Linked DNA regions of Mus musculus. The protein of the gene in region 2 purifies or fractionates together with the protein of the main gene of each other region. This does not show direct contact. Links are inferred from orthologs where the notes say so. Each region holds a gene or a part of one and is shown on either strand. Other genes may lie near its edges.

Region 1 (3,500 bases), about 62 Mb from region 2:
CCAGGTGTGTTGGCACACAAATTTAATCCAGTACTCAGGGGCAGCAGCACATGGATCTTTGTGAGTTCTGGCTCATCTTTGTCTACATTATGAGTTCCAGGACATCCAAGGTGAGATAGTGAACCCTATCTCAAAACAGCACAAAATTTAAAGAGTAGCTAGCACCAGTGCTGTCCATTGGCAGAGAAAGAACACTGCCAAACTTACCCGGGGAAGTCAGGATTTCACTACTGCCAAAGCCAGATAAGGATGATGTTTGTGTGAGGACCGACCTGCATTTGCATGTGTGTGAAAGCTAGCATCATTGTGTGTGAAAGAGGATCATGAGAGTGGAGGAAGAGATCTTAAGGAAATGGAAAGAGAGGGCAGTGGAAGACCTGTGCTGAAAAGCAGAAAGGGAGAAAGAAAACAGCTAGAAGGGAGGGAGGGAGGGAGATGAACCCATGGCGACAAAGTGTGCTGGCACCAAGTATGAGAGGCTGTTAGGAGAAATCCACTGCTTGGTAAGATGGCATTAAAACTGAGTGCAGTGAAAACAAAGTTGAGCAGTGGTACTTTTCAAACTGGATACTGAGTTTGGGGCCTCGTACTATTCTGTTTACTTTGTTCCTATTTGGGATTTTCTTCTTTAAAAGTTCAGAGAATGCTCACTTAGCTCAAATATTTATGTGGCCAAGTGTCATGAGCGTGTTGGTTAATAAAATTATAACTGGTTAATTTCAAATGCTACTTTGAAAAATATAAAACCTCATAGTAACATGTAACACTTATTTTGGACAGCCATGAAGAACTGTACTCAGGCCGTCCTTACGGAGCCCTGGATTCAGGCTTCAATAGTGTGGATAGTGGTGATAAGAGATGGTCAGGGAATGAGGTAAGTGTTCTGTTCATGTGTTAAAAATCCTGATTTTGAAAAATAAATTAAATTAAGGGGAATATCTAAATTGGAATTCAATTTATTAGGTAAAATAGAGAAATGTCAAAGAGCAAAAACCCTACATAGTCCTACCACCTGGGAATTCTACACTGTTTCTTTTAAAAGCACCTTTTGCCATGTATCCTCTTTCAGATTTGTTACCCAGTCTTATGCACAGATATTCTGGAAAGCTGAGTAGGAAGTGAGGTGGTTAAAGCTGAAGCCTAGTGGCTGTGGTAACACATTTCTATAACCCTAGCTAGCTCTCAGGAGGCTGAGGCAGGAGGACCATGGTTTGAAGATAGCCTGGCCTATGCAGTAAGTTCCAGAACAGCTTGCACTGCATAGCAACTGTCTCAACCCCATGAGAAGCCCTGACATCCATGTGAGGGCCAGGGTGGTCTGCGGCGGAGATGGTGATAGAATGGGTGTGCTGGAGGCTGGGAAAGTGCGCAGGACTGGACACTGATGGGTGAGGAAGGGGAACCTGAGCTTTAAGTGACAGCTCAAAAGTGGAGTCCTCTCCAGCAGGCACTGGCTGGAGCCCCACAGAAGGTGGCACAGCTCAGTGAGTTCATTCACATGCCACAAATTGCATGGGTTCTTGTTTTGATTAATTAATTCTATTAGAGTTTCCAATGAAATCCATTGCTTTGTAAAATTACTAGGATATATTTTAACTACCAATTAAAGGACTACACGTTTGCTAGAGGTGCTGATAACAGCCATTTTATAACACTGTGTCATTGAGATTCCAGACAGAAGCCTGGTGAGTAGCACAGTGCCTTGAATGCCTTCAATCTCAGTGTCAGGAGGCAGTGGCAGGTGGATCTCTGTGAGTTCAAGGCTAACCAGGACTATATAAGTCCAGGCCAACCAGAGCTACATAGTGAGACCCTGTCAAACCTAAATAAGTAAATAAATTAAATAAATAGTAAGTCAAAACAAAATTAGATCAAAACTTGAAATTTGTAGTTAGCTATATATGTATGTATGCATGTATGTATGTATGTGTCTTAGTCAGAGTTTCTATGCCTGCACAAACATCATGACCAAGAAGCAAGTTGGGGAGGAAAGGGTTTATTCAGCTTCCACTTCCACATTGCTGTTGATCACCAAGGAAGTCAGGACTGGAACTCAAGCAGGTCAGGAAGCAGGAGCTGATGCAGAGGCCATGGAGGGATGTTCTTTACTGGCTTGCCTCCCCTGGCTTGCTCAGCCTGCTCTCTTATGGAACCCAAGACTGCCAGCCCAGAGATGGTCCCACCCACAAGGGGCCTTTCCTCCTTGATCACTAACTGAGAAAATGCCTTACAGTTGGATCTCATGGAGGCATTTCTTCAACTGAAGCTCCTTTCTCTATGATAACTCCAGCTGTGAAAAGTTGACATAAAACTAGCCAGTATAGTATGTATTGGTGACTATCTTTTTGAATATTGCAATGTGTGTATATATACATAGATATTTTAAACCTATGTATATATTTGCTTACAGTTCTGAATATCCTTCTATTTTTGTTAATTGTGGTAAGGTTTGCCTATTTAAAGTACATATTTCAGTTGCATTAATTGTGTTCATAGAATTATACAATATTCTCTATTAATTTCTAAAACTTTTGCTTTTTCTTCTCCTATGTAGATTACAGTTTATATTCCTGTACTGTATGTTATCTAAAATTGGAAATGATGGTTTTTAATGTTTCTGCTTTTTAAGCCTACAGATGAATTTTCGGATCTGCCTCTTCGAGTGGCAGAGATTACCAAAGAGCAAAGACTGCGGAGAGAAAGCCAGTACCAGGAGAATCGCAGCAGTGTGGCGGTCACAAATGGTGGAGGTACACACGATTCTGATGACATTTAAAGCCTTCATGTGTGCCTTGTTATATAACAGGCTCTCCCTATAACCCTGGCTGCCCTCAAACCCCTTATGTAGCCAAGGATGGCCAGTCTTCTCCCAGCCCTGGGGGTACAGTTGTATCCCACCACACCTGGTTTTGTGGTGCTGAGAATTGAACCCAGGGCCGTGTGGGCCAGAGACAAGGACTTTACAACACAGCCCAGCTCCCACCTGAACTTTTTTGTTTTGATTTAAGGGAGTTTATTGTGGCTTAGGGTTCTAGAGGGATCCTGTCCCTCCTGATGAGGAGAGCTCGGCAGTAGACCACCATCAGTAGACTGGCAGTAGACTGGAAAGGCATGGCGACAGAAGTAGGAAGTTGCTGGTCTCCTTACCGTTTTTGAAGTGGTCTTTGTCACACCCACTCTTTAGTTTGCTTCTCTGTAGATCCTTCACCCTTCTGAAGACTTCTGTTTATATATGACCAAAAAAAAGTTTACCATTCAGATAAAATTCACTTTCTCTGTATTTTCAATTTATAATTTCTCTTTCATGTTTATTTGAGGGGAAACTTTAGGAAGAATAGATCTTTGTTCATCTTGATCTTACTACAGTCTTCTGAAGTAACATTGTCTCTTTTTAAGATTTTCCATTTTAAAGAGATTTCTTGAGCTCTTTTAGCAATCAATTGTGTTTGCTTGTATTTATTTTTAGCTTTTTGAAATAGTTATCTATTTATTATCAAGGG
Region 2 (3,500 bases):
GCCGTTTTTGTGGTCTCTCTGCCCCCTTTAGGCTCTTCATCTTTGAGTTCAACGAAAAATAATTGTTTAAAGTATTGCATATGTATAGGTAGAGAAGTGATTGGTCAAAAACTACTCCAGGCAAATCTTTTCATGTTTAGAATTTATCTGTGAGACAATAGAGTACAAATATCTAAATTTAAGTTTTATTAAACTTGAGATTAGTTATGTCTTAATGTTGAAATACAGTCTTTAGGTTAATTGAATCGCAGTGTAACTGTTACTGGTGTAAACTGAATCCATCATAGTAGGAATTTTACCTGTCCTAAACATGTTCTGGTCCTTTCCCTGTGTAAGGATTTTCTAAACAGTATAATGTAATGACTTTTTTTTTTTTTTTTTTTTAAGATTTATTTTATTAATATATGTAAGTACACTGTAGCTGTCTTCAGACACTCCAGAAGAGGGAGTCAGATCTTGTTGCGGATGGTCGTGAGCCACCATGTGGTTGCTGGGATTTGAACTTTAGACCTTCGGAAGAGCAGTCGGGTGCTCTTACCCACTGAGCCATCTCACCAGCCCCCGTAATGACTTTTTCTAGTATTTGTAATTATAAGAAACCTAGAAAAGATCTCAAGTATGAAAGAATGCACACAAATTATTTACAGATATTATTTTTGTATAAGAGATTTGAACACCTGTGGATTTGTGCATCCATAGGGTTGGGGCTAATCCTGCTCAGAACCAGTTCCTTGAGGAGGCTTGACTATGTTTGTAGTTAGCCTTTTCCAAAACAGGCTCTTCCTCTGTTTACCCTGCTGTATTATGTCAGTAAGCATGGTTTCTAGCCTTATGGTAGTTGCACTGTAGCATGAATGCATAGTTTTCACTTAAACTGTAATTTAATTAATGTCTGTAAGTTAGTAAGACATTTTTATTGGTTCTTTAAAACTTGAAAAACTGACCCTTAAAATTTCCTTCCTTTCTATCTCAGTGTTTTCCATTGTATTTGAGGTCCCAAGGTACACTATGGATCTGTATTCTTATTTGCTGATTCTCTACCTTCCCTTCTGTTGAGTGTGCAGAATGTGAGGGCAAAATGTATTATATCTGTTGGTTTTAGTGTATCCTCAAGAGTCCACAGTGTATCCATCCTCAGCGCCCACAGTGTATCCATCCTCAGTGTACACAGTGTATCCATCCTTAGCGTACACAGTGTATCCATCCTCAGCGCCCACAGTGTATCCATCCTCAGTGTACACAGTGTATCCATCCTCAGCGCCCACAGTGTATCCATCCTCAGCGCCCACAGTGTATCCATCCTCAGCGCCCACAGTGTATCCATCCTCAGTGCCCACAGTGTATCCATCCTCAGTGCCCACAGTGTATCCATCCTCAGTGTACACAGTGTATCCATCCTCAGCGCCCACAGTGTATCCATCCTCAGCGCCCACAGTGTATCCATCCTCAGTGCCCACAGTGTATCCATCCTCAGTGCCCACAGTGTATCCATCCTCAGTGTACACAGTGTATCCATCCTCAGCACCCACAGTGTATCCATCCTTAGCGTATACAGTGTATCCATCCTCAGCGCCCACAGTGTATCCATCCACAGTGTCCACAGTGTATCCATCCTCAGTGTACACAGTGTATCCATCCTCAGCGCCCACAGTGTATCCATCCACAGTGTCCACAGTGTATTCATCCTCAGCGCCCACAGTGTATCCATCCTCAGTGTACACAGTGTATCCATCCACAGTGTCCACAGTGTATCCATCCTCAGCGCCCACAGTGTATCCATCCTCAGTGTACACAGTGTATCCATCCTCAGCGCCCACAGTGTATCCATCCTCAGTGTACACAGTGTATCCATCCTCAGCGCCCACAGTGTATCCATCCTCAGCGCCCACAGTGTATCCATCCTTAGCGTACACAGTGTATCCATCCTCAGCGCCCACAATGTATCCATCCACAGTGTCCACAGTGTATCCATCCTCAGTGTACACAGTGTATCCATCCTCAGCGTCCACAGTGTATCCATCCTCAGTGTACACAGTGTATCCATCCTCAGCGCCCACAGTGTATCCATCCTCAGCGCCCACAGTGTATCCATCCTCAGCGCCCACAGTGTATCCATCCTCAGCGCCCACAGTGTATCCATCCTTAGCGTACACAGTGTATCCATCCTCAGCGCCCACAATGTATCCATCCACAGTGTCCACAGTGTATCCATCCTCAGTGTACACAGTGTATCCATCCTCAGCGTCCACAGTGTATCCATCCTCAGTGTACACAGTGTATCCATCCTCAGCGCCCACAGTGTATCCATCCTCAGTGTACACAGTGTATCCATCCTCAGCGCCCACAGTGTATCCATCCTCAGTGTACACAGTGTATCCATCCTCAGCGCCCACAGTGTATCCATCCTCAGCGCCCACAGTGTATCCATCCACAGTGTCCACAGTGTATCCATCCTCAGTGTACACAGTGTATCCATCCTCAGCGTCCACAGTGTATCCATCCTCAGTGTACACAGTGTATCCATCCTCAGCACCCACAGTGTATCCATCCTCAGTGCCCACAGTGTATCCATCTTCAGCAAACACAGTGTATCCATCCAGTTTCCACAGTGTGTCCATCCTCAGTGTACACACACAGCCTTACACAGATATGTGCACTCTATCTAGGAGAGAGTTGACAAGCAGAAGTGGATGAGTTTACAGTTGAAATTACAGGTTTTTTTTTTGTTTGTTTGTTTTTAATACAGGTCGATCAGATGAATAAAATAGTGGAAGTCTTGGGCATCCCACCTGCTCATATTCTTGACCAAGCACCGAAAGCAAGAAAGTTCTTTGAGAAGTTGCCCGATGGCACTTGGAGCTTAAAGAAGACCAAAGATGGAAAACGGGTAAAATGGGGGTGCACTTATTCTTGGTGGAGACTTCCCTTCCCCTTTTCTCCCTCTCCCATCACCCTTTTTTCTCTTTTATTGTTTCCTCATCAGAGCTGTTTGTTCATAGTTCCTTTGAATTTTCTTGCCAACTGTATTATAGTTATCAATTTTAAGAAAGTATTTTGTTCAAAAGTTGATTGTAGTTGAGCTGACTGTGCACTGGGCCAGTGTTTGCTTAATGGTCAGAGTTGTTTGGGTTTCAGTAAAAGCAAATGGACTACTACCTGCCTGTGTTTGGAGATAGCTGATAAAGCCTGTATACTTCAATACCGAATCAGTCAGTCTCAAAGCTTGTACATAGGAGTGAAGCCATAGCTGTAGACAGAAGTTATAATTGTAGTCAGTTACTAAATTTTTTAAGTAGGAAGATGATTTTTAAATTTCAGCAGTTCATGATACTTTTTTTTAGGATACCAGTCAATGCTGGAGTCTTCTGACAGGTTTCCGATTCCTTGCTCAGTGACCAAGTTAACAGGGGGCTTTCATCTTCTAATGCAATTGTATTAATTTATTAGAGTAAACAATACAAAATTTGCGTCTTGATTTTATGTCTCTGCAATTTGCCAAA
Region 3 (4,026 bases), on a different chromosome or scaffold from region 2:
TAGACCAGGCTGGCCTCGAACTCAGAAATCCGCCTGCCTCTGCCTCCCAAGTGCTGGAATTAAAGGCGTGCGCCACCACGCCCGGCTTCCACCTCAACTTTGTAATACATTTTTTAATTCTTCTTTTTCAGTTTGCATACTTGAAGCTTCCTGCTTCCTCCCCGGCCCAGCTCAAAGATGAAGTTCTCTATCACTAAGTCTACCTGTTTCCCTATCCCAGATGAGGGGGCTTCAAAACACTTAGAGTAAACCCTTGACTTTTAGGGATTTGCTGCTACAACTGTAATAATGAAATGACTGGAATTACCACTTTCTATCCGACTAAAGAAAGGAATCTGAAACTCTGCCCTACAGTGATCTGAGCATGAGAGCATTTATTGAAAAAAATTTTTCCCATCTGAGACCTCCAATTTACAGAAGAGCCAGAAGCCTCTATGGGCTTTCTTCCCTACTGACATCAACACCCAGCCTATTGAAAAAAAACTTAAAACTTTGGTTGAGGTGGGAGGTGGTGATAATGGTACAGACTTAATAAAAATGTGGTTTCCAGTTCCTGAAGAGGAAATACAGTACTGTTGAAATCGGTTCCTCATATGTCAGCTTCCTCCCTCCTTCTGTCTTAAGTGGTCCAGCCAGAACCATCCTGCTCCACCACCACCCCCCCATACACCCCGCAACTGAGCCACCTATGATGTCATAATCACAATCCCATTACCTCATCCTGCTGGGGGGGGGGCGGTAAGGAGGAAAGGGAAGGGAGGGAGTGAACAGCCTCGGGTCCGCCTCAGCTTTACAAAGTGTTTTGGGTGAGAACAAATTACAGAGCAAGGGGACACAGCTCCGCAACCGTTATAAATCTCAGGTTTATAAAAGCTCTAGCAGATCTGGCAGCTAGAAGAGGGGCTCCGGCTACTCAGAGCAGGCCTTGACCGGCGCTTGGACTACATTTCCCAGCAGCCTTCACGCCGAGGATCAGTCCTTGCCGGGGGAAGGTGGGGGGATGCTTGCAGAAAGGTGGCTGTGTCGGAAGGGAAAGGAGGCCAGGTGAGAAGACTGTGGCTAATATTGTTTCGTGGCCTGAGCTGAGTCAGATAGTTCAGTTGGGAGGATGGTTTAGTGGAAGGAGTGGACAATGGCTTTGTTTACCTTTATCCGACATGGCTTCCCCTACGGGCTTCGTGATATGCTTCCAACTGGGCCTGTCCACTTTCCACGTTATTTTGGAGGGGGTGATTAGTTAGTGAGGAGACACTCCGGTCCCCAAACCACAGCTCTAGGCTCCTTTCCGACGGCGCTATTCTGAAAAAGATTAAGGGAGACACCACGTAGGGCTTGGGCCTCTTCGGCAGGTTCCGGGGGATTCTGTGAATAGACGCGATCCCCCATACTCTCCTCAAAGACCGGTTGGTTCTTGCCAGCGCCTTTTAAGGGCACCGTGGGGCGAACGGAGCGCTCAGAGCTGCTCCGGCCGCGGCCCATGGAGCTGTAGGAGCCGCGGTAGGTAGCGGAGGGCAGGTGGTGCTGGGGCCTCGGGGCGGGCACCGCGACCGTCCCTCCCTCTCTCCCATCCCCCAGTCCAGCCGCTGGTGCGGCGGAGCCTCCTAGGCCGTCTCGGCGGGAGAACCCGGGACCCGGTGGGGGAGGGGGTGGCGGAGTGCATGTCCCAGACCCTCCCCATCCCCTGCGTCCTGAGTTCGCTTCCCGCGGTCAGATGGGGAACCAGAATGGAAAGAAGAGAGCGACAGTCTCTCTGAGCAAACCCTGGAGTGCCCCCCCGGGGGCCAGTAGATGCCTCATGCCCCACCCCGCGGGGACAGGCAGGGCAACAGAGGGAGAGGTTGAGGATTAGAGGGAGCCTAGTCGTTTGCTTTTTCGTCGCGGTGGGGGATGGGTGCACCCCACTTGTCACCCCTGTCTTCACGAGAGCCATATGGAAGAAGAGCATTCTAATATCCATTTACCTTTTTCTTGCATCTCCCTGCCTCGCTTATGTTTTCCTTCAGTTTCTCCCAGAGGTGTGGGACCGGGAGACCTGGGGGGAATGTCCCCAGGGGATTTGCGACTTTCTTTTCCCTTGGCCTGACTGGATCTTAGGTCGTCCAGGTTTCAACACAACCTAAGTATCCCAGAAACGCAAGTGTCAGGAGTTGCTTCCATCCAATAGGAGTGGGGGGGTCTAGTCGTCATCTTGGGGGGTTGTGGTGGAGGGAGATTCTGGGCAGAGAGTTAGGCCTGGTGGGGTTACTGGGAGGGCCGAGCGGCCTTCTTGCTCAGTGAAGGGCTGAGCCTTGTGCCAGTAACGTTCAGCTGAGAAGTTTTAACTTGTTTAGTGAAATGTTGAGAGCTGTCTACCCCTCAGATACACAAAATGGAAGGGAAGGAAGGCTGCCAGAGAGAGCTTCTCACACTTTGTAAATGTCTGCTTGAGAACGAGGAGGCCCCTTGCAGAGCTGGTTTACCTTCTTTTGTGTCCTGGTTTGATTCCTTATGGCTTCCGTTCTGTTGCCCCTCTCAGCCTGGCCTGTTTTAGGAAACTCAGGCTGAGAGTATCAGTTGCGTGGTGGTAGTTGCATTGTTCCAATTACCGCTGTGTGTGGCCACATCCCGACAATTAAAATGCAGAAAAAGAGAAATCACCCTCTTCAGCTGCTGCTAGAGAGGGCTGGGAGTTTGCTGTTTGCCTCACTGAAAAGCTTGCAAGTGTTTTTCACTCCCTGCTCCTCATGGCTGGTCAGCCTGGAGCCTGGGGTCTCTCTAGGGTAAGATTCTCCACTTAGGTTCCCTTCTTGTTCATCATTTTTGAGGACAGAGTTAGAATGGGAGCAGAAGTGATTCAAGCTTTAGCTTCTCCCACCAGAACCCAGGGGAAGCAGCTGAAGGGAGTTGGTTCTCAGGAAGCTGGAACTTTGTTCGGAACGGTAGGGATAATTACGCATGGAAACCATAGTTAGCTAGAGTGATGATTGACGGCTGCGCCGTCCTTCCAAAGAACTCCATCCACATCCACAGGACCTTTGCTCTTTGTCATGTGCCTCTGAAGTGACACCCTCGTTTTTGCAGTGGGTGGGCTTCTCCAAAACATCACAGGAGGAAGACCCCTTAGGCTTCAACTTAGTGAGCAAGTGACGGAGGTTGGCCTCCAGCCAGAGAAAGATGCATAGCTTTCTTCATCCTAATGATACCACCTCTTTAGGCACACCAAGGCTTGGAAGAACAGCAAAGGGAGAGAGAAGAAACAACAGTCTGTGTGAACTATTTTATATAGGCCAGTTGGTAAGCTATTTTGATATTTCATGTGGCCTCATTCCTGTGATAGAGTAAGATCGTTATACCCATTTTACATATGGGTAAGCAGGAATGTTATATGGCTAGCCAAACTTGCCTGAGTAAATTGGATTAAGGATTAGGTGATAGTGGCAGCTTTTTTTCCTCCCGGGCTGGCCTTCACGAACTGTTGAGCTTCTGTTTGCTTTCATCTCCCGAGGGCTGGGATTACAGGTGTCTGCCCAAGAGTTAGCTTTCTTGGCTGACTGTTCTCTGTGCCAGTTTAATGCTCCACATACTCTGGCCTTGCCTGTTGGTCACTGATGGGAAGAGGTAGAACAAAGGCATCACTAACCTCCCTTCCTTCTTCCTCAGAGCAAGGCCAAGGCCCCGTAGGTAGGCAGTTGTGTGGGGTTTAGAAGCTGCTCTCAGATAAAAGTCAGTTGGCTTCAGTCTTAAGGAAGAATCCATGGTCTTCAAGTGGGATCATGAAAATCAACACAACTTTGTTGGATGAAGTCATGAGTTGTTTTTAATATCCGTAGAGTTGAAATGTGATTGGAACTGACCATTCTTTCTCATTGGATAAGAGAATAACCAGCAGCATCTACTAGGAAAGAGTGATGTATCAGCTGTTCATTTAAAATCCTCTTTAATCTGACCTGAAACTGAAAGCCCAGCCCTTGCTCCTCTCTCTGTACTAAACCCCTGTGGTTTAGAAGGGTTTTTCTGTTTGTTTGTTTTTTGTTTTTGTTTTTGTTT
Region 4 (2,968 bases), on a different chromosome or scaffold from region 2:
GGGTTCAGACTTTGACAGCTGAGCCTTATCTATGACATGGAGGACATGGGGAGCGCTGCGTCATTTGGCTACAGCGTAAACTGACAATAGATGGCTTTTGAGTTCAATTCCTGACCCTTACCACTACTAGCTGTGCAAGCTCACCTTAACCTGCCTGCGTCTTGGCTTCTGCATCCCCATCGGCCAAGTGAGGTTAACACTGGTACTGTTAGAGGCTACTGCGCTGGTGTTTGCAAAGCCCTTAGCTAATGCCCAGCCCTTGCTTGGCACTCAGGGACGGGGACTGTACTGACAGAAGGACCTCAGCAAGCCAAGCCTCAAGACTGCTCCTGAAGACCCCGGTTCAGCCTGGTGAGTTTGTGTGGATGTGGGAACAAAGGAAGGGTGAGTGCCTGCACCAGGAAGGCAAGGGTCAGCAGGCCTCAGGGAGTGGGGTGAAGTAAGGGAGAGGTTGGAGGGAGGTCTGGCTCAGTGGTGGCGTGCTCCTCCAGCATTCACATCCCAAAAACACACACACACACACACACACACACACACACACACACACAGCAGACAAGACCTCCCGGGAAGGTCAGAGGTCAGCCTAGTTGTGCGTGTATCTCTGTTTCTGCCCTCTCCCTGCCACTTCCTGCAAGACAATGTCTACTGTGTTCTCTGTCCCAGTCCCTTGTGAGCCATGGCCACCAGCCCACCCAGGGCATTGGGATTGATAAGTGTTTGCCAAGGTATTATTGTGCTCTCGGGGGATGCTGAACGGGTAGACTTTGGTGTTGTAGATACTACAGGAAATGAATGTCCTGTCTCCTCCCAGCTTCCTTACCCCTCCGAGGCGAGCAGGAGGCTGTCCCTCACTCCGACGACGGAGGGGGAAGACATCATCTGGGTCTGGCTCAACGGATACCATTAAAAGAAAGTCTGACAAACACCAGGGTGAGCCGAGACCCTCCCAGGATGGGGAAGGGGTGTTCAGGAGGCACACTGAGGGTTGTGGGTAGAATTGGCAGACCCGGGACTCAGGGTATTTGGTCTTTTGCTGGAGTTGGGACCAAGCCCTCTTCAGGGTAGATCTGACTTCCTTTGTTGGGTATCTGGGACCCAGGGTGAGAGATGACAGACTGTTATGTGTGTCACTATCAAATCAGTACAGTGGCTTAAACATGGCCAACACTTACCAACCAAGCATTAATTCCTTCATTCCACTGGCATTTGCTAACTGGCTTTTGGATTCAGCCATGGTTCTAGTTCCAGAAAAAATATATGTGTGTGTGTGTGTGTGTGTGTGTGTGTGTGTGTGTGTGTGTATGTGTATGTATGTGTGTGTGTGTATATATATATATGTGTGTATGTGTGTGTGTGTGTGTATATATATACATATGTGTGTGTGTGTGTGTGTGTGTGTGTGTATATTCTAGAAAGGGGGGCAAAATAATAAAAGACAAAATAAACCCCACCCCACAAATGTAAAATGAAATATATAGGATGTCACATGGTGACATGTTCTTTCTAAAACTAAATGTATAAGGTACTGAAAGGACGTGGGAGAAGGATTGGTGTCATAAATTGGTAGTTTAGAGCCACGCTTGGTGGAACATGACTGTAACCCAGAGGAGGCAGGAGAATTGCCTGGGGCTGAGCCATCGTGAATTCCAGGACAGCCTCGGCTATGTAGCAAAACCCTGTGTTTAAAAATAGAAGGTGTGTGTGTGTGTGTGTGTGTGTGTGTGTGTGTGTGTGTGTGTGTGTGTGTGTGTAGGGGAATGGATGAGTAGGGCTGGCAACTTAACTCCCATTGGTCAACTTATAACTGCCTGCCAGAACTTATAACTGCCTGCCAGCCAGGCATGGTGGCGCACACCTTTAATCCCAGCACTTGAGAGGCAGAGGCAGGCAAATTTCTGAGTTCAAGGCCAGCCTGGTCTACAGAGTGAGTTCCAGGACAGTCAAGGCTATACAAAGAAACCCTGTCTTGGGAGAAAAAAAAAAACCTGCCTGCCTGTAATTCCCTCTCAAGACATCTGATGCCCTCTTCTGGCTCACATGGGCATCCAACACATACATAAATTCGGGAAAAAAATTGTTTAATGTTTACAAAGGGCATGCTAAGCAGTCTTTTTACAAAATGTAGTATGGCTAAGGCACTGTCATTGGGAAGATAAGGATTGCCTATGAGACCAGAGTTGAGGCTGTGACTCAGACAAGATGGGGAGGGCTGCAGATGCAGAAGCCCCGAGGAGAGGAGACATCTAGTCTTTGTGAGTTGGCAAAACAGACCAGAGAGGTTGAAGCCTAGACGAGAAGAGGGTCTGAGATGAGTTTGCAGTGACGACAGGTGAGAGATGAGGTAAGGACAGACAAACCAGTGTAAGTTCTTGGTAAGGACAGACGAACAGAGCACTTGTAAGTCCTTGGTGAGGACAGATGGACAAAGCACTATAAGTCCTTGGTAAAGAGCTACAAACAAGTTTAAGTTCTCTGCTCTTTCTTGGGCTGAACAAGAGTCAGGGGGAGATGCATGAATAGGGAGAGAGAGTTGGTTTCTCACTTGAATAAACCACTCAAGCGCCGCACATCGTGGCAGTGTGCCTGTACTCCTAGCCTCTTCCCTACGTGAGCCCCCAAAGAGTAGCTGCTGCAGTGGGGAGAACAGGAAGGTAGCTTTGGGGGCCTCCACTGGACGGTGATGGCTCCCATCTGCTGCCCTCCCTCCCCCATTCCTGCAGCCCAGTTGTATAGTACCACCTTCCATCACCGAACAGTCAGCTGTTTATAGACAGTCTCAGGGTGTTCGCTCCCCAGGCCTCTCAGCTGTGATTTCTATCAACAACCCTTGGGCTGGGCAGGATGAGAAGAGTTTGGCTGGAAGCCCTGCTCAGCCAACCACCTCTCTCCTCAGAGCACATATTCATCCATGAAACGCTTTGCCATTCGACGGAAAGCCCAATTCACACCCCTCCGATCGCTACCTAAA
Region 5 (3,500 bases), on a different chromosome or scaffold from region 2:
TTCATACCTGGGTAATTTCCACTTGGTATGCCTCTAGTGACTGCTTTAATTTCCCTAATATGGTAGATGTGTAAAACATGAATGGGAAGACTTACCAAGTATGGCTGATGTGGGGACTCAGGAAAACCATGCATAGGATCATAGTAAAATTTCAAGAATTAAGTTGCTCTTCCTAGTGTTGTTGTTATATGTCAAATTGAAAGGAATTAGCCATTAAAAGCTTACAGTTAAGAAAGGTCAAAGAGATAGGACTGAAATACGTGATGCAATCATTTCTATCAAGTTAATCATTAAGAAATACAGGAAGGTGGAGAGAATGTATGGATTGACCAGGGTGTGGTTTTTTCGTTTTTGCTGTGACAGTTCCGTCTTCCCAGTGTGCTTTAGCTAGTGCACTTGCTGTGTCTCACAATGCTGTCCGGCTGCTCTGGAGTATATGTGCTTCACCATGCTAGCAGCTCTTCTTCACTTTGTGCTAGTCTTATTTGGAAAACCCACAAAAAAGATAAGCATATGTTTAAATGATGTGTAATGGTTCTCAAAGATAAAGTAAGACCTTAAAGCACTCAGAGATGTTCTCTTTCAAAACTGTGCTGGTGTGTGCAAACTATAGAAACAAGTGTTTGCTTAATTAGTTTGATCTGCAAGTGTATCAATTTTGTAACTTTTTAATTTGTAGGCTTGAGTTTGAAGAAATTGAAGAACCCGAATTTATTGCATTATGTCAAAAGTTAAAGGTACCCGATCATGTCAGAGAAAGAGCTTGGCTAACTTGGGAGAAAGTTTCATCCGTGGATGGAATCCTGGTAAGAATGCTTTTAAAGTTAATTTTTTAAAAAGAAAATCTATAAAGTAAAATATATAAAGTTAGTGATAATTTCACTATCCAAGAGTACCCTCTGATAGCACTAGAATGCTTTTCATTTCAATGGTTTCTTAGGTTTTTAATTTTTATTTTACATGAAAAAAATTCTGATGGTGATGGTGATGATGGCAGTGGCTGTGGTGATGATTCTGACGATGATAATGATGATGGTGGTGGTGGTGTGGGAGCTGTGTTCCTTCTGCTTTTAGTGAAGGCCTAGGGATTGAACTCAAGTTGCCAGGCCTGCTGGGCACCAAGTACCCACAACCATTGAACTGGCTTCATTTTAAACTGATATACAAAGTAACGAGTTTCACTGTGACAGTTTTTGTACAGATACACCATTGTTGTTTTCTCTATTCATCTCCTCCCCCACTCTTCTTTCCCATCCATTATCTTCCATTTGCTAGTCCCCTGCCACCTCTAGACGGCTTCTCCTGCATTTGTATCACACCTGTGCCACACACATTTGTGTCACACACTCTTTTCCCCTATGCCTTAAAACTCTCTTCCTCTCATCTCCCTTTCCAACTTTCGTGACCACACACACACACACACACTCACTTAAGTTTTAGAATCTTCATAGGAGAGAACATACTTGTCTTTTTTTAGTCTGACTTATTTTGACCTCCAGTTGCATTCATTTTTGTAAGGATAATGTGATTTCATTTTTATTTGTGGTTGAATAAATTCTATTTTATATATATTGACTGGCTTTCTTCATCTGTGCATGGGTGGATGAACATCTCCACTTGCTCTATCTCTTAGCTATTCTTAGTAGTATGGCAGGAAACATGGATCTCTCTGCTGTCTTGACGTCGAGTCTTTTGGACATACATAAGATAGTGGAATGGCAGTTTTATGTAACCTCACACTGACTTGCATGGTGTTTGCCCTACTCTACCTTACTACCAACAGTATATAAGGCTCTCTTTTCCCACATTTTTGCCAGCTAACATTTGTTGTTTTGATGTTAGCCATGCTGACTTGGGCAGAATGGAATCTCAAAGCAGTTTTAAGTTGCATTTCCCCATTTCAAATTTTTAGTGCTCCTATGTATATCTTTTTCTGAGAACTGTGTTTAGTTGGTTCATTAACCTGTATTTTGAGTGAATGATTTGCTTTAATAATATTTAAAATTTGAGGTTCTTTATCAGTTTCAATACATGCTGGTATTGAAGGTGTGCCCCACCACACTCAGCCCTGTGTTATGTTTAATCACAATCTGTCTCTCTGTCTGACTGTCTGTCTGTTTAATGTGTGTGCATACATGCTCTCATGCACTGCATGTGTCGTGGTCAGAGGGCATCTTTCAGGAGTCAGTTTTTCTGCCGTATGGGTTCTAGAATTGAATACAGGTTATCAGGCTTAACAATTGCCTTTACCCATTAAAGTATCTCACTGGCCTGATATTGGGCAAAAGATATTGATTGAGTTAAACATCTACAGCAGGTAGATGCCCAATTACCTCAGCATTATTTGAAGAGGATTTTTTCCCCCAGTGTCAACAACTAGGTGGCTATAAATGTATAGGTTTAATTCTGAATTCTCTTTGTTGGTCCATGTATTTTTATGCCAATATCATACAGTTTTGTTACTATGGTTTTACAGTATACTTTGAAATCAACTATTCTGACACTTGCTTAGTATTGCTTTTGTTACTCAGAATGTTTTGTCACCTCATATTAGTTTCATTTCTATTGTGATAAAATATCCTGACAAAAAACAACTTACAAGAGAAAGGTTTATTTTAAATCACAATTCCAGGTTATAGTCTATCATAATAGGGAAGTCAAAGAGGCAAGAACTTAAAACAACTAGTCACATCACACCTACAATAAAGAGCAGGCAGGGATAAGTGCATGCATGCCCAGTACTCATAGAATTTTCTCTATGAAAATTTATATAGTTCAGAGGCAAAAACCCTAGAATGGTGTTGCCTACTCTCAGGCTAGGTCTTCCCATTTCAATGAAAAGATTGGGTGGGGTCTTTCCCCAGCAATTAAGGCAGTCAAGGCAGCTTGCCATAGCTGTGTCCAAAGAATTCCTGAAGACTCCCTTCCTAGTAATGTTACACTGTGTCAGGTTGGCTATTCAAACTAACATTGCTAAGGGGCATCATCCTAGTTCTGTAAAGAATGTCACTAGAAATAGGCCTCGCATTGTATTGCTTATAGGTATTTTTGGTAATGTAACTATTTTCACAGTATTAATTCTGCTAACCCAAGAGCATAAGACTTTTTTGTTTGTTTGTTTTTTAATTTTCTAGTATCTTCATCTTCTTAAGGGTTCTTAAATTTTCACTGTAGAGGTCTTTTACTACTTTGGTTATGTTGATTCTTAGGCATTTTCTTTTTTGAAGCTAATATTTTTTGTCTTGTTTGTTTGTTGTTACAAGGTCTTGCTTTGTAATTCTAAATGATCTAGAACTTATTATGTAGACCAAGCAGCCTTGAAGCACAGAGATCCTGCCCTGCTGTAAGTGCTGGGATTAATGGTGTGTAACACCATGCTCTTGAAGCTGTTAGGAATGGGATCTTTTCTTTTCTTGGCAAGTTAGTTATTGGTATGTAGAAAGGTACTTATTTTTGCTTGTTGACTTTATATTCTGCAGTGTTGAAAGTATCTAACACAT
Region 6 (3,500 bases), on a different chromosome or scaffold from region 2:
CCTTAGCAACATTAGAAGTTAGTTAATTAACCCTGGGAAGGTAGCTATTATATTATCCCAATTTATAGATGATGAAAATGGAGATATAGCTGGCTTAAGGAATGTGCCAGAGGTTTTATGGAAATAAGTTGGAATTGTACCTTCAGATACTTTTAGAACAAAGAATATAGATTGACAGACAATTTGGTGTTCCTCAGGCGTGAGAAAACTAAGAAAAAGTGTGGTTTAAGACTGGGGATGTGATCAGGAGACAGGGGAAGTAACTGGTCAATTGGGAGGTGAAGTCAGTAGTCTGAAGTCTTGATAAGCCTCTCAAGTGGACTAAGAAACTCAGGAGCAGAAGGAGGAGGCCAAGGACTGATTGGTTGCCTAGGGTAGGGTTGAAAGTTAGGGCTGTTGAAACTTGGCAGGTGAGGAAGATTTTAGTGGTTTCTTTACACCGTGGTGATGTGTCAGGTACCTGGAGAGATGAACTAGTTATTTTGTGAACAAGGGAGAAAGGCATGGTAGCATGCAGTGATGTCAAAGCTGAGTATGAGGTTTCAAGGAGAGCTTTGGAGTGACTGTAGCTAGTAAGGATGAAGGAGAATGTAACAGTGACTTGGTCTTTGTTAAAAAGCCACAAGACAGATGCAGGCAGTCTTGCTAGTTAAGGACAAGATTATAGAAGAAAAATGGGAGAATTTAAAAATGGGAAACTTTAAAAATGTTTGTGAATAATTCATTGAAAATGGAGAGCAAAATGAAGATGTTTGTGAGAAGTTAGCCAAATCACCTTTCCTGACTAATGCTGGAGGAAATGTAATTCGGAAATCAGGAGCATCCAGGTATCCTGACTGTCCAGTGCAATTTGTACAAGGCTCATTTTTTAATTGTATTTATTTATACATATTGTTATAACAGGTAGGAGCTTATGGGTCAGCTGCACAGGCCAGCATGTTATATATATAAAGGTTATATAAGGCATAACAATATTACCTTCAGAAAAAGTCTGAGGTATAGGAACGCCATTTACCCTAATTCTTTTGTAGAAATTGGGGAAGGTCATGGGTGTTCCCTGTGTTCCTTCTCAAATTTGTTGGCATTCCACATTTCCTTCTTGAGAAATAGCAACATCGGTTATTCCCATGGCCGTGTCACAGATCCATTATATACTCACATAACCTGAAGTCAAACTCCAACATGTGTTCAAGGATACCATGTGCTTTAGACAATTCAAACCAATAGAGGGACACTTGACAATGTTTAATTTGTTTTGCTGTTGTAACTGGTTCTTGATCTCTACAGTAGAGTGGGTGATTGTTGGAACATACTGATATTGAAGACAAAATGGATTTGAGTTTTTTGTTTTTTTGTTTTTGTTTATTTGGTTTTTTTGGTCTTGGAACTGCTTTGGCTCATGTCCTGTCACCTTCTTACATATTTGTTGTGGTGCTGGGATTGATCCATTCATTCTCCTTTTTTTTTTTTTTTTTTTTTTAAGTTCTTGCAAGTTGATGGCCTTTGGACAAATGTTCTAGCTTTAAAATAAATAGTAGCCCAAGTAGTCCAATAATATCTGTCTCCTGACAGAGTGGCCAAGGATCTAGTAGTTGTTTTGAGACTAGATGTTTCAGCAGTCCCAATCTAGTGCTGGAGTCTCTGGGAGGTGTAGAGAGCTGCCAGTTTTCAGTCCACATTGGAACATCAGAGCATACGTTCTAACACCAGGAAGAAATGGTTCAGGATAGATGAAGTTGCCAGTGAGAGTGGGGGCAGAGAAAGCGACATCCTTCTTCATTCTTGTCTTAAATGAGCTGCCGCCAGAAGGGGTAGCCCAGGTTTAGGTGAATCTCTTAACTCCACACGATTTGGGATGGGTTTCCCACCTTAAGTTGGCTGCTTGGGATTTAGTTATTCCAAGTATAGTCAAGCAGACAACCAAGAGTAGCCATCACAGTTGGTACCTTACAATGGGAATTAATTCATGTAAGTGCTTGGTTAGTCTTTAGGTGAACTGTGGGGGGTTGTGTATGCTTTAAAGAAGAGGCTTTCTATACTCTTACCAGTTTTCTATCAACTTTTAAGGACTAGGTCTAAGGATTTGGAGACATACATGCTTTAAGACTTGGTTCTTCAGATATTATATTTAGAATATAATAAAGACTTTTGAATTGCCAAAGTTAATTGGATGTTTTCCCTCCCTAGGTTGAAACTGAGCTCAAGTTAATCTGTTGTGACATTCTGGATGTACTGGACAAACACCTCATTCCAGCAGCTAACACTGGCGAGTCCAAGGTTTTCTATTATAAAATGTAGGTTCTATACTAGAAGGGAAAATGTAAGATTTAAAGTTGGCTTTAGAACCATAACTTTTTAAATGTAGATTTTCAACTTTTATTTAAAAATAGCTGAGAATTTGGAGGGTTAGTTATCAGAACTTACAGTTTTAATTAGTTGAAAAAACAATACTAATGAAGAATTAATTGTATTTGAGATTGTCTGACTGTTGTGCAAAGTACCTGTACAAAATACACAGCTTTTCATTGTTGAGCTGACCCTCCTTTCCCCCACCCATTGTCCTGGAACTCACTAATGGCAGACCATGCTAGCCTAGAATTTAGAGATCTGCCAGCTTCCTGAGTGAGATTAAGGTTGTCAGGTTTATTTGAGAAGAGGTCTTTATATTTCTGATTGGCCTGGAACTCTGTAGATTGGGATCGTCTCAGATTTGGGGTGATCTTGTCAACTTCCAAAGTGCTAGGATTATATGTTACCACACCCTGCCTGGGTTTTTGATTTTGTGGCTTCCTTCTTAGCTAAAGTTTCCCATTTTACAGTATAATCTTAACTTTCTGTAGAGAAATAAGGTTGAGAGTAACTCAGGAATAGCAGGGCTCAGCTTGCTCAGGGCTCCTGGGTTCTGGGCACTGAAGTGATGGCAGAAAATGTGTTTTGTGACGAGTGTGTGCTCTTCTTCGGAGACATTTGTGTACCAGTCAGGTGATTTTCAATTTTTTTTCCCCAGTTATTTTCTGAGGTAGTTGGCCAATAATTTAAAACAGGAAGTCCGCCCGGGCAGTGGTGGTGCATGCCTTTATTCCCAGCGCTTGGGAGGCAGAGGCAGGTGGATTTCTGAGTTCGAGGCCAGCCTGCTCTACAGAGTGAGTTCCAGGACAGCCCGGGCTACACAGAGAAACACTGTCTTGAAAAAAACCAAAAAAAAAAAAATAATAAAAATAAAAATAAAAAAAAAGCAAAGACAACAACAGCAAAAAGCCAGGAAGTCCTTAAGAAAGAAGGATTTCCAACCTGATGGATACTGAATTTTGTAAAAAAATCTATATCTTAAGTGTTAACTGTATTTTGTTATGTACTGCATGGTAGAGAAAATTTCCATGCTGTAAGGACTATTTTCTAACTGTGTTTTTTGTCTACTATTGTATTGTAGGAAAGGGGACTACCACAGGTATCTGGCTGAGTTTGCCACAGGAAATGACAGGAAGGAGGCAGCAGAGAAC
Region 7 (3,500 bases), on a different chromosome or scaffold from region 2:
ATTGGTGGGGTGCCAGGGATGGAAGCCCACGGTGGCTACACCTTCTGTGGCTTGGCTGCGCTGGTTATCCTCAAGAAGGAACGTTCTTTGAACCTGAAGAGCTTGCTAGTGAGTAGCTGTTGCACCACCCTCTCCCCGAGCCTAGGACTGGTGATGTGACTCGATCTCTGGGACCATGGGGAAGTCTGGTGATGGGAAAGGAGGGCTGAGCTCAGGCACTGAGCGCAGATGGAGCCTCAGGTGTGGTTGCTGGTGTCTGCCCAGCCCTGAGTCAGCAGAAGGAGCAAACAGCTGCCCTCGGTCTCAACTCCCTTCTCCTACCTCTCCTCCTGCCTGTTTTGAAGTTTCTGAACAGACCCAGAGTGGACTTGAGTCCTCCACCCACCACCTGGAATGAGCCATTGTACCTTTGCCCCAAGAATAGCAATGGTCCCACAGGATTCACTATTACCATGTGTCTTAGAATCACCTAAGAGAAGAGGCTCTCAGAAGAGCTTTGAAGCATTTAAGAGCCAAGGATTTATTACCTGTGAAAATTCCATATCTGCATTCCAGCAAGTTCCCCAGGCAGAGCTGGGAAAATGCTATTGGGAGGTCTGGACATCTCTTCTAGACCCCCCAAGCTCTTGGCCAGTGCTCAAAAAGCGGTCATGTTAAGGGAAACCTAGGACATACAGAGAGAATATGGTCCCTTTGTCTTTTGGGAGGTATCGCTCCCCTGGCTATCATGAAAGCAAACCAGCTACACTAGACCTTCAGCTCTCTCTGAGAGCGGATGCCAAGCCCTCATTGTTGAGCCGTCCTGAGCCCTCTAGAGTGTTGCTTTTATATTTTGTGGTAGTGTAACAAGCAGCACTGTGCCCTCATTGTGAGAGAAAGCCTCTCACACAGCATGCGCTGTGGAGGTTCTGGAAAACTGATACTGAATGACCAACTTTGAGGGTACATTTTACAATATGATCATCCTTAGGAGATGAAATGTAAAGTCCCGTGTTGTCTCAGCCAGGGTTTCTATTGTTGCAGTGAAAACACCACAGCCAAGAAGCAAGTTAGGGAGGAAATAGTTGATTCAGTTTCCACTTCCACACTGCTGTTCATCACCAAAGGAAGTCAGGACAGGAACTCACACAGGGCAGGAACCTGGAGGCAGGAGCTGATGCAGAGGCCATGGAGGGGAGCTGCTTATTGGCTTGCTTCCCTTGACTTGCTCAGCCTGCCTTCTTATAGAACCCAGTACTACCATCCCAGGGATGGCATTATTCACAACGGGCTGGGCCCTCCTGCCTTGATCACTAATTGAGAAAATGCTTTACAGCTGGATCTCTTGGAGGCATTTCCTCAACTGAGGCTCCTTCCTCTGTGATGACTCCAGCTTGTGTCAAGTTGACACACAAAACCAGCCAGTACACATGCTGTAGGCAAAAAGGAGGAATATACTAGTGCATGCCTAAGTTTAAAATGTCAGTGCTGTAGGCTTGCGCTGCATCTACCTCTTAGCCAAAAATCCCTGACTATTTTCTGATCTGCTTTAGCTGCGCTGTCTCTTTCCCTCCGGAAAGTGGGAATAATAATCCCTATTCCTTAGGGTTAAAGAAGACGACCCATAAAGAGCTTGGTAGACAGAGGGTGCTCCATAAATGCTAGCCCTCCTTCTCCCTGTGACCCCCTTCCCTCTCTTTGCTAGAAACAACCAGTATCTGAGCCGGGCAGTGGTGGTGCACGCCTTTACTCCCAGCACAGACAGGAGGCAGAGGCAGGCAGATCTCTGGGTGGAAGGCCAGCCTGGTCTACAGAGCAAGTTCCAGGACAGCCAGGGCTACACAGAGAAACCCTGTCTCAGAAAAACAAGAGAGAGAGGGGGAGGGAGGAGGTGGCTTTGATTTCCTATATCCAAGGGAAGTGGAACCAACCCCTGGCTTTAGGCACTGGAACAAAAGCATGACTTGAATCTACTCACATTTTGGGGTGAGTCAAAGGTAGAGTTGTTGCCCGTCCCCACCCCCTTTGAGTGTTTAGCTGACTGTCATTAAATAGCAGTTCCTGAAGGTTCATTTAAGACCAGCTTTGGGGGGGAGGGTGTTACTACCTAAACACACAGGTTTCTGTCCGTCTAGGCATCCGAGGCTGACTTGTATTGCCATGACCAGGGGCATACTCTAACTCTATTATATTTGAAGAAGTCCAGGCTTTCCTCTAAAGAGTCCCCTGCATCTGCATTCAGGAACTCAGTCTAGGAGGGCTTCGGGTTCTGGGCATAGGCCCCTTGTTCCTTTTCAGTCCAGTGGTGCAGCTCTGTGGCCTCAGGCTGAGCAGGAAGAGAGAGAGCATTGTATCTGCTCAGCTAGTTGCCCTGCTCATCCCTCCAAGGCTATCTTGTTGGAGTGTGTTTAGAGAATGTGGAGATAAGCCAGGAGCGGTGGTATCAGGTGTGGCCACCGGGTGACAAGTGCCAGTTTATAGCTTCAGCCCAAGATTTCCCTTGTATCACCCCAGGAGAACTGGAGGCTAGACCAGGAAGTAATCATTCGGTAGCAAGGCTCAGTGGCTCTCAGTCCTAGTAGGGACTTGAGTGCACGTCCTCAGGTACCAGGTAAAGGCAGGGCTAGCCTGATGTCATCGGATGAGATCAGCCCAACACTTCCCTCCTCTGCTTTGAACAAACTCCCGTGAGAAGTGATGAAAAGAGACAAGTGCTCCTGCCTGAGTTTTCTGTCCCAAGCTGTGTTTTTAGAGACCTTTGCGGGCCTCTGCACTCAGCACCTGCTTCGATTTGGACCTAGTGGGAACAAGAGAGGGTAATGGGCTATATGTAACAGGGTGCTGGGTGACTATTTGGGGAGGAGAAAAGAACAAACCTGGGGAGGGGGTGACAGGAAATAGCAATGAAGGAGACAAAGAAGATATATCTGTGTGTGTGTGTGTGTGTGTGTGTGTGTGTGTGTGTATATATATATATATATATATATATGTATATAATCTATCACATGTACACACACACACACAGTGTAACAAAGAAGAAACCTTTCACTTTTTATGCTAAGTGAAAAATGGTGGTTGTCTTTTCAGCCCTGAGCAGTGATCACTGCCCGTTGTTTCAAAATGGCCAGGTTTAAATGACAGTTGCCACTGGGGAAGGGGAGGAGAGGAAGGGAAGCCAGAACCCCAGACATTTTCCCACGGAGCGAGTGGCCCTTGTAGCTGTATGTCTTTGGCTCATACCCACCTCTACCGTGTCTTTTCTCAGCAATGGGTGACAAGCCGGCAGATGCGGTTTGAAGGAGGCTTTCAGGGCCGCTGCAACAAGCTGGTGGACGGCTGCTACTCCTTCTGGCAGGCAGGGCTCCTGCCCCTGCTGCACCGAGCCCTCCACGCTCAAGGTGAGTCCACACTGCTACTGGTCTGTCGCTAACCCAGCACTGTTGAAAGGAAACTCTGACTGCCTGGGGTTTTGAGGGCTGGTATGGAGCCTCCCACCCTTGGGGCTCTCGGAGCAGAATACC

What was found.
Region 1: the proteins of Dyrk1a (region 2) and Lrch3 purify together in Homo sapiens (affinity purification with mass spectrometry; 3 studies listed by BioGRID and IntAct, counting the BioPlex papers as one, with this or other methods). This does not show direct contact. The link is inferred for Mus musculus from reciprocal best matches to the Homo sapiens genes DYRK1A and LRCH3.
Region 3: the proteins of Dyrk1a (region 2) and Fam53c purify together in Homo sapiens (affinity purification with mass spectrometry; 8 studies listed by BioGRID and IntAct, counting the BioPlex papers as one, with this or other methods). This does not show direct contact. The link is inferred for Mus musculus from reciprocal best matches to the Homo sapiens genes DYRK1A and FAM53C.
Region 4: the proteins of Dyrk1a (region 2) and Troap purify together in Homo sapiens (affinity purification with mass spectrometry; 6 studies listed by BioGRID and IntAct, with this or other methods). This does not show direct contact. The link is inferred for Mus musculus from reciprocal best matches to the Homo sapiens genes DYRK1A and TROAP.
Region 5: the proteins of Dyrk1a (region 2) and Rb1 purify together in Homo sapiens (affinity purification with mass spectrometry; 4 studies listed by BioGRID and IntAct, with this or other methods). This does not show direct contact. The link is inferred for Mus musculus from reciprocal best matches to the Homo sapiens genes DYRK1A and RB1.
Region 6: the proteins of Dyrk1a (region 2) and Ywhae purify together in Homo sapiens (affinity purification with mass spectrometry; 4 studies listed by BioGRID and IntAct, with this or other methods). This does not show direct contact. The link is inferred for Mus musculus from reciprocal best matches to the Homo sapiens genes DYRK1A and YWHAE.
Region 7: the proteins of Dyrk1a (region 2) and Fntb purify together in Homo sapiens (affinity purification with mass spectrometry; 3 studies listed by BioGRID, counting the BioPlex papers as one). This does not show direct contact. The link is inferred for Mus musculus from reciprocal best matches to the Homo sapiens genes DYRK1A and FNTB.

Annotation. Positions count from the first base shown.
Region 1 is NC_000082.6:32,973,100-32,976,599, forward strand, and holds part of Lrch3 (DISP complex protein LRCH3), read left to right. Parts: intron 1-780; coding exon 781-874; intron 875-2,629; coding exon 2,630-2,750; intron 2,751-3,500. UniProt on the Homo sapiens protein: As part of the DISP complex, may regulate the association of septins with actin and thereby regulate the actin cytoskeleton.
Region 2 is NC_000082.6:94,674,706-94,678,205, forward strand, and holds part of Dyrk1a (dual specificity tyrosine-phosphorylation-regulated kinase 1A), read left to right. Parts: intron 1-2,746; coding exon 2,747-2,887; intron 2,888-3,500. UniProt on the Homo sapiens protein: Dual-specificity kinase which possesses both serine/threonine and tyrosine kinase activities. Exhibits a substrate preference for proline at position P+1 and arginine at position P-3.
Region 3 is NC_000084.6:34,758,101-34,762,126, forward strand, and holds the start of Fam53c (protein FAM53C), read left to right. Parts: upstream 1-1,226; 5' UTR 1,227-1,497; exon of another isoform or gene 1,498-2,877; intron 2,878-4,026.
Region 4 is NC_000081.6:99,077,973-99,080,940, forward strand, and holds part of Troap (tastin), read left to right. Parts: intron 1-274; coding exon 275-351; intron 352-663; exon of another isoform or gene 664-676; coding exon of another isoform or gene 677-725; intron 726-811; coding exon 812-930; intron 931-2,832; exon of another isoform or gene 2,833-2,893; coding exon 2,894-2,968. UniProt on the Homo sapiens protein: Could be involved with bystin and trophinin in a cell adhesion molecule complex that mediates an initial attachment of the blastocyst to uterine epithelial cells at the time of the embryo implantation.
Region 5 is NC_000080.6:73,319,323-73,322,822, reverse strand, and holds part of Rb1 (retinoblastoma-associated protein), read left to right. Parts: intron 1-679; coding exon 680-806; intron 807-3,500. UniProt on the Homo sapiens protein: Tumor suppressor that is a key regulator of the G1/S transition of the cell cycle. The hypophosphorylated form binds transcription regulators of the E2F family, preventing transcription of E2F-responsive genes.
Region 6 is NC_000077.6:75,753,387-75,756,886, forward strand, and holds part of Ywhae (14-3-3 protein epsilon), read left to right. Parts: intron 1-2,187; coding exon 2,188-2,294; intron 2,295-3,430; coding exon 3,431-3,500. UniProt on the Homo sapiens protein: Adapter protein implicated in the regulation of a large spectrum of both general and specialized signaling pathways. Binds to a large number of partners, usually by recognition of a phosphoserine or phosphothreonine motif.
Region 7 is NC_000078.6:76,906,967-76,910,466, forward strand, and holds part of Fntb (protein farnesyltransferase subunit beta), read left to right. Parts: coding exon 1-108; intron 109-3,223; exon of another isoform or gene 3,224-3,244; coding exon 3,245-3,377; intron 3,378-3,500. UniProt on the Homo sapiens protein: Essential subunit of the farnesyltransferase complex. Catalyzes the transfer of a farnesyl moiety from farnesyl diphosphate to a cysteine at the fourth position from the C-terminus of several proteins having the C-terminal sequence Cys-aliphatic-aliphatic-X.